Struthio camelus: one gene and its partner. The protein of the gene in region 1 interacts with the protein of each later gene in a pairwise test. Links are inferred from orthologs where the notes say so. Each region holds a gene or a part of one and is shown on either strand. Other genes may lie near its edges. The genes, in order: GUCD1 and CTH.

What was found.
Region 2: the proteins of GUCD1 (region 1) and CTH interact in binary tests that used the Homo sapiens proteins (3 or more experiments, as listed by UniProt). The two-hybrid records come from large-scale screens. The link is inferred for Struthio camelus from reciprocal best matches to the Homo sapiens genes GUCD1 and CTH.

What each region holds. Positions count from the first base shown.
Region 1 is NC_090958.1:8,970,390-8,974,301, forward strand, and holds the start of GUCD1 (protein GUCD1), read right to left. Parts: upstream 2,373-3,912; 5' UTR 2,286-2,372; coding exon 2,249-2,285; intron 1,927-2,248; exon of another isoform or gene 1,895-1,926; intron 607-1,894; coding exon 522-606; intron 1-521. Other genes in the region: SNRPD3 (small nuclear ribonucleoprotein Sm D3), read left to right, coding at 3,332-3,457.
Region 2 is NC_090949.1:37,729,131-37,733,042, reverse strand, and holds the start of CTH (cystathionine gamma-lyase), read right to left. Parts: upstream 2,770-3,912; 5' UTR 2,704-2,769; coding exon 2,539-2,703; intron 1-2,538. UniProt on the Homo sapiens protein: Catalyzes the last step in the trans-sulfuration pathway from L-methionine to L-cysteine in a pyridoxal-5'-phosphate (PLP)-dependent manner, which consists on cleaving the L,L-cystathionine molecule into L-cysteine, ammonia and 2-oxobutanoate.

The DNA of each region.
Region 1 (3,912 bases):
AAAAGGGCAATACAGTGCATAGCCTTGAAGTTGAAACTACTCCTGGAACAGAAACCCTTCACCCTACAGAGTGGGGGCTCAACAGGACAGGGGCAATATATATTCATAAATACGGGATAAACCTACCAGCCACTTGAAAACACGCAGAATGGAAGTAAGAGAATTGCTGTGGTAAAAGCTAGTTCCAAATTATAACAGAAAAGAGGGATAACTTTTACTAGCTTAAGCATGCTAACCTGCAAAGATCTTAGTGCTAGTCAGATATTTTGCATCAATCAAAGCAGTTAATCATTTAAAAAGTCTTAAAATTTGTCCTAGTTTGTATTTTCCCTTGCTCTTGCTGGAGAGCTGTGCTAGACCCTGGCAGCAGTAATCCTCCAAAGGTACTTGAGACTATATGCTCTCACGATACTGAAGTTAAATTCACAGCTGCTTCCACATATCCTTTCTCCCTGGACATTGATTTCCGACTTCCCATGGGATGGGATTTCCAACCCCTTGAAGCCAAAAAAGTTACTTACTGTAGTACCATCCTGGAGCAGGCTAGCCCACAGTCCCAGTGGTACAGCTGCTGGATGACTGGCACTTTCAACTGGATGCAGTCAACTGCAGTGAAAACAACACTTAGTAAAACATGGAGGATGTCAACCCGCATATACATGTTTTTCCGTACCTCAGCATTCAAAGCCAATTTGCTGTCTTGCAGGTACACTCAGCACTATAGTGGGGGAAACTTAGGAACATTTTTTATTTTACCTGATTGGCAGGTCCTTTTTCCTAAGGGGATGTAGGTTTGTTTGGTATTTCTGTAGAGTTAACCCTCACGTGTCTGGTTTAATGTCATATTATTGTTACATATTTGGATCACTGTGCAGTATTTTATTCTTTTTTGTGGTGGTGACACATCCACCAGCCCCTAGTTACAAAGCTGTATCCCCTCCTAACTAGCAGTAGATAAGGCACAGCTATTCATCCTTTGTCATGTGTCCAAAACAGTCTCTGAATGTACTTCTGTGCCACAAAAGGTGTTCAGCCAGACTGTGATAAAACAGACACAACAAAGATCTCCTCCAGCCACCTCTCTCTCACAAGCCCCACAGAGCTGAGCCTTTTCTACAGATGTGTCTTTTTTCCTCAGGGACTATAATTTATGTGAGTAATTTTAAGTTACCGAACCTTACAAATGACACTAGTTGGCCTTTCGTGTTATATTCTCTCAAGGTTTCAGAAAAAGAAAGAAGAAAAATCTCTACTGGAAAGTCCATAATTCCATCTTTCTTCCTCATTTTTCATTTTTATAGGCTTGGGGCAAGTGTGATGGTTTCAGTCTCAGAAGACCCATTATCGTTTGAATTTGAATGACTTAGTGTTTTTGCAGGTGTTACTGTTATTTCAACCTTAATCAGAGTAAGCTAGTCTTAAAGGGCTTTTCTCAATCCCTTCACTTTTGACTAGAAAAGACCTTTGAAAGCTGTTAACACAAGGTCAACTACACTTCGGCATGAAGATAAAAATGCATTCCACATCATGTGGACTGGTCTAGTTTTGATAAAATTTTATTTGTAAAACTTTATAAGTAATGTCATTCGTAACAATAATTTTGTATTATTTCCTAACAAAGCTATAGCCTACAGTAGGCACAAGCCAATATAGATATTTTGGACTCTTCAAAAATATTTTTTCGTAGTTGTGCCCGTGTTTAATCGTGACTTCGAAGACCAGGTATACCTGCTGGTATATTCAGTTGTCTTTGTTAATCTAGATTAAGGTGCTCTTACGTAAGTCTCCTAAAGGGAAAACAAAAAGTCCCAGATCCTCCTCGGACTACCCTCTTTAAATCTTTATTGTTGGTTCTTCCCGGCGTGTCATGAGTCAGTTCCCTCTTCGTTCCTACCTAGGGCCTCTGCCAGCTCCCCAGGTTAATTTAAGAAGTAACGCTGTTTTCTGCCTGATGACTTCACAGACCGACAACGGCTCGTGCTTTTCCAGTTCTCCCGGGTGTCCAGCTCCCGGCCCCGCGGCCTCTCCCGGCGGGGCCTCCCCGCTGCCCCGAGGCGGCCGCCCGCGCCCCCGCCCGCGGCCGCCCCGCCGGCTCCGCGCCTCCGGCCGCCCCGCCAGCGCCGCCGCCAGCGCGCGAGGCCCCGGCTCCCGCTCCCGCTCCCGCTCCGCCGCCCGCGCTCAGCGCCCCGCCGGGGCCGGGGTGGGCGCGGGGGGCGGCCGGGCCTCGGGGCAGCAGGGGCGCACTGACCTGGCAGCGGCTCCCCGGCCTCCCGCGGGCTCTTCATGGCGGCGACGGCGGCGGCACCCGCCGCCCGCCCGCTCGCTGCCGGCCCCGCCGAGCCGGCCCGGCCCAGGGGCCCGCCGTGCCTCGGCGCCGCGCTGGCTCCGCCCGGCCCCGGCGCCGGGGGCGGGGGCTGCGGGGGCGGGGGGCCGGGCCCCGGGGCGCCGCGCCCTCGCCGCGGCGGGGCCGGCTGCGGCCGGGCGGCGGGGGCATGGCGCGGCGCGGCTCGGCGCGGCTCGCCGGGCGGGCAGCGCCCGCGGCGGCGGCGGCCCCTCTGCGGGCGCGGGCGGCGGCGGAACCGTCGTGCCGGGGCGCCGCGGCCCGGCCGGCCCCGCGCGCCGGAGGCGCCGCCTGCCCTGCCGGGGCGGGGCGGGGCGGGGCGGGCCGGACGGGACGGGGAGGAGCCTCCCGGCGAGCGCCGCTTTCCGCTTCCGGCGCGCGGGGCACGGCGGGAAGCTGGAGGAGGCCATTAGGGGCTGCGCGCGGGCCCGGCTTGAGGCGGTTGCGGGCGGTGAGTGGTGGTGGGCGCCGGGCCGGCCCCGGGGCCTCTTGGCTATGGCTGGCGACGAGGCCGCGGGCCCGGGGCGCCGTCCGGGCCCGGGCCGCCTCCTTCCCCCCTCGTGGTAGTGCCCGCTGCCCTGGCGCGGGACCCGTGGGCCCGGCCCGGCCCGGCTGCCGCGCTGCTGCCGCCGGGCCGCGCTTGCGAGCGGCCCCGGTGCCGCCGCCGCCCCTGCCTGCGCCGGCGGTTCGGTGTCCTCCAGCTGGGGAGCGGGTTTCCTTTCCCTTTCCTAGCAGGGAACCCGTAGGCAGCCACTTCCACTGATATTTAAGTGATTTTTTTTTTTCCCATAGCCCTCTTTCTAGAGGAGCTTTGTTAACGTTTCATCAAAACTTGTGGTGTTTCTGGGCAAGGGGGAACCCCCCTTCCCCCCCCCCCCCCCCCGTTTCTTACGCTTGAAAAGATCATAGGTAATGTAGGGAGAACCTAATTTCAAAGACCGTTTCCTTTGCTTTTCCTTGTCCCAGGGGTAGAGCCGCAGCTCTGCAGACATGTCGATCGGCGTGCCCATCAAAGTCCTGCACGAGGCGGAAGGCCACATCGTCACATGTGAGACCAACACAGGAGAAGTCTATCGGGGCAAGCTTATCGAAGCTGAAGACAACATGAACTGTCAGGTATAGCTGCCTCTGGTGGAGGGAAGGGAGGCTGTCTCGTCTGTGCCAGGAAAGGTTGATAGCTAGCTTATTTGTGTTTTGATTTAAAGACTATTATTTTTAGTCTAAGGATTAAAAAAAAAAAAAACCCTGCTGCTGCATGCCTACGTTGTAGTGAAGTGGACTCAGGATTGCTGAATGCTCTAAAGAGCGCAGAGTTTGTTCTTTTAGGGTTTAAAGCAGGCCTGGGAAGTCTTGTCAATAGCATTAGGGTTTTTTAAGACTTTGTTCTATGGACAGTGTTTCTACTGGAGTCTTTCATTTTATTGCTCTGGGCTTAAGATTAAACAAACCCTTATTTGAGGAAACTGAAGGGGTTTTTTGTGTTTTTTTTAATGCACATGACTTCAGGCATCCCAAGCGGGCTTAATTTTGGTTGACTTTGGATAGAAATCATGTTGTCTTAAGTATTAAGG
Region 2 (3,912 bases), on another chromosome or scaffold:
AACATTCAGGCTATGCATCCATCCTTTCCAGTAACAGCGGGATGGTCTGGCTACATCAACCTGTTGTACACAATGTAGGATCCATCCCTCCTACCTTACAAGTCTGTTTGCCATTAAACTCCCACGAGCTCTAGCAAGACATTTATGTGAGCTTTACCTAGATTTATCTGCTGTGAATTTTAACATACATTGACATATTTTGTGTTAACTGTTCCTGGAGTGAAAAGCTCATTTTGCTTTAAAGGGATGTCCACAGTTCAGCTCCAGTCACTAGCCACTCATCACTCCATTTGGAAAATCAATGGCTAGATATTTATTCAGCTACTGACAACCAACACAGCTTTACTAATCTCATGGAGTGCCATCCATTTAAAATCTAAAACACATTTAAATGTCATGCCACTTTTCAAATAAAGCATTAATTAAATAAAAACTAGACCACTCTTGACTGACTAAAACACAGCCTGTATCTTAATGAAGAAAGAACTTAGAGAAAATTAATTTCTCTATTCTTTAAAGCGAATCTGTGTTCTAGACAGCACCAGTCGACCTTTGAATATTTGTCTTATTATAGTGACTATCTAAATGAACATGGATTACATCATTTAGAATCATCTACACGAACCAGAAAGCAAATAATCTGCCAAAATCTGAATTATGATGCCTGGGAGGCCCAATCCGGTGAAATGAGGAGTACCTTCCACTCCAGGTGACTTCACTGAAAGCAATCTGTTTCTCTCAGACCCAGATATTATAATGCTTGATCTTGATCATGCGTCCACAGAAATTAACACTGAAACTAAGGTGATCATTGGTGATCATCTGAGCAGACTCCAAAAGATATTTAAGTATCCACGATAACAAGTAGAATAACCCTGAACTGTCTCCAAGCCCTTTTTTGGACATCCCCAATCTGAAAATGGTTACTGGGAGAGTACTGGGAGAAATATCATATCGCTTGCCACATTCTTTCCCTTTTTCCTAGATGTCCACCTCTGGTTGCTGTTGGAGAAGAGGCTTTGGTCTGACACAGTCCACTCATTCTCATGTTCTTACCAGAAAGAATGTGTCCCTTCTCCACAACCCTTCGCTTGAAAAAATGCTTTAGGCACTGGCCAGCACCAGACTGACAAAGACCAGTCAAAAAGTTCTTTAGAAAGCTCAGATATTTTCCTGGCATGGAATCATGCCAAGTTCCAAGTGTGACTCCAACAGCTTTTACATGAATACTGAAAAATTAAACAAGAAAAAAAAAAAATCATGCATGTATGGATGCGCTTGTCACAGAGAGAACCTGGCTCAGCATCTTGGTATTTTTGTCCTTTCAGGGTTTGTGCTTAAAGACAACTTCAGGAATCTGACAGGCTGTTCTCACTGAGCTTCCAGTAAGAACGTGGCTCACTGTATTATCAGTACCTAAGAACAGCAGCTTGTGACTACTTCCCCTGTGTTCTTCAGCAAGTTAATTAATCTGTTTTTAGCTCATAACTAGTCAAAATTTTAGTCTACGTAAGTGATCAAAGGTCACAAGATAAATTCCTATTGCCCAACTGGCAAAGAGTGACATTCAGAATTAGGGCTTGGGGCAAATACCGACTTACGAATTGAAAAATTGTGTTATTTCCCTCGCATGCACATTGTGACCATCAGGAACTCTATGATAATTCAACACTTCAAGTACTTTCTAAAAGACCGCCACAAAATATTTATGGAAAATGTATGAGATCTGGAAGGACAATTGAAGCAACCTCTTACCCAGTCTGTGTGAATGATAAAATGTCCAGGCCTCGTAGCCAGGTTAAATATTGTTATCTCCCTTGGTTCATGAAAGCCTTTGGGTGCACGTGAATCACCTGACGTGCCAAGACACTGCCACCATATGGTGGTCAGCTTCCTCAGTTGAATCCCTTTGCGCGCATCACAGGGAAGCCTGTCTACCCATAGAAGAAAGCTGAGTACTTAACTTGCTGTGACTTTCAAATTGAAAGTCTCCCTGACACACAACATGCCTTTCCGTCCATTGTGGGAAAACTTATCTTTTCCAATAGAGAAAAAAATTACAGTAAGTCTGGTTTTGTTTCTTTTACTCCAGGAGCCAAAATGATGAAAAACAACAGTTTTGGAAGTCACACACGCTACAGGGATTTAAAAGGGGAAAATAATCCTCCTCTCCTACCACGGCTTTGCATGTCTAACCAGATACTGCGAGGAAACCTGAATTTCAAGGGTAAGTCACAGCATCCTCAAGGGAAGAAACAACCCCGCCATCTTTAACAATGAAATAAGGAAACACATCTTTAATGTGTTTGAACCAGGGAGTGCCCCTCCCTTTCCCTTGCCCCGTCCCGGGCAGGTGGGGAGCTCCGTTAAACGCTGAATTTCCCGACTGCTCTGCGCCCCTCGCCTCGGGACCCGCTGCCAAAAAGGGCTGCTTTTAGCTGAACTCCCCCCTTCCCCCCGCGCCCTAGAGAAATAAGGGAGAGAGAATTGGGGGGGATAACAAAACCACGCGACGTTTCCCGCTGGCGGGCCACTCACCGCGTGCTGCCCCGGGGCCCGCTGCTTGAAGGTGGTGGAGAGCGAGAGCGGCGGCACCACGGCGCCCGAGCGCCACTGCTCGGGCTCCTGCCCGGCGTGGATGGCGCGAGTGGCGAAGTGGGCGAAGTGCGGCAGGAACCCGCCGCCGCCGCCGGCTCCCTCCATGGCCTCGCTGCCGTGGGCTCGGCGCGGCGCGGCGCGGCGAGACTCAGTCCGGCTCCGCCCCGGGGGCCCGGCGCGGGCGGGCCCTCGGCGGGGCCCCTCATTGGCGCGGGCGGAGCCGCCCCCGGCCCGGCCCCGCCGCGGGCGCCGGAAGAAGAACCCGGCGGGGCCCCGGCCCGGGCACGGAAAGAGCGTTTCTCCATACTTGCTTGCTTTCCTCTTTCTATCAGAGACACTTTGTTCCCAAGTTTAAATAAATTTAAAGAAAATATTTAAATAAAAATTTAAAAATAAATAAAAATTCCTGTTTACTGCGAGGCAGGCTTACAAGAAAAAGAAATGTAAATTGCAGTATATCGTTTTGATTTACTAGCTACCTTCGGGTTTCGCGCAAACTTTGCTTTTGTCTTTTATTCCTCACTATTTTTTGGCCAATTCAGTTCGGGCACTAAAAATATCCATATCCTTCCTGGAGGAATACACCCATGAGGAATTACTCCTCCATTATTTATTTCCCACTTGGGGAATTCCATTAGGAAAAATTATTTCTCTAGTTCTATTCAGCTTCTGTATATCAAGGCATTAGGTGAAGTTTCTATGGACTTGCAACCCAGAAACGTGTAGAAAATGCACAGTTCTAGACCACATCTGATCCTGATAATTTTATCTAAATTGTGCAGTGCTTGGAAGAGAGCAGTTAAGTAATTTAAGAAGATGGAGAATACAAACAGGACAAAGTTATGTCGGTAGACAGTTTTAAAAGCAAAACAAAACAAAACCAAAACAGCCCAGCATTCTCAGGAATTTGTACCTGTAAAATAATTATTCAGTAGAGTTCTAGCCAGGTAGTCTTCTGGACTCACTGCCAACTTCCAGTTTTCACACAGCCATTCCCATTAGGAATGCAATTATTAAATTTCTGGATTGAATAAAGCACTCCATAATAAGCTGGTAAACAGTGACTTCATGCCTCTGTCTTCTCTTAGCTGGCTTCCAGTAATTAAAAATGCAAGCTGAAGCTTCCAACATTTAAGAGGCATCAACTAGCACCTGAAACAGTATATAATGGTATAGCATACAGACTGGCTATGCCCTATACATGTTTCTGACATGGCACCTGGGCAAACAGCTTCTCGTGCAGTGCTGGAGAATAGGCTGGAGATCTGGATTGCTAACGAAGTCAGCCTCTCAAATTCTGTTTGTAAATGGGTT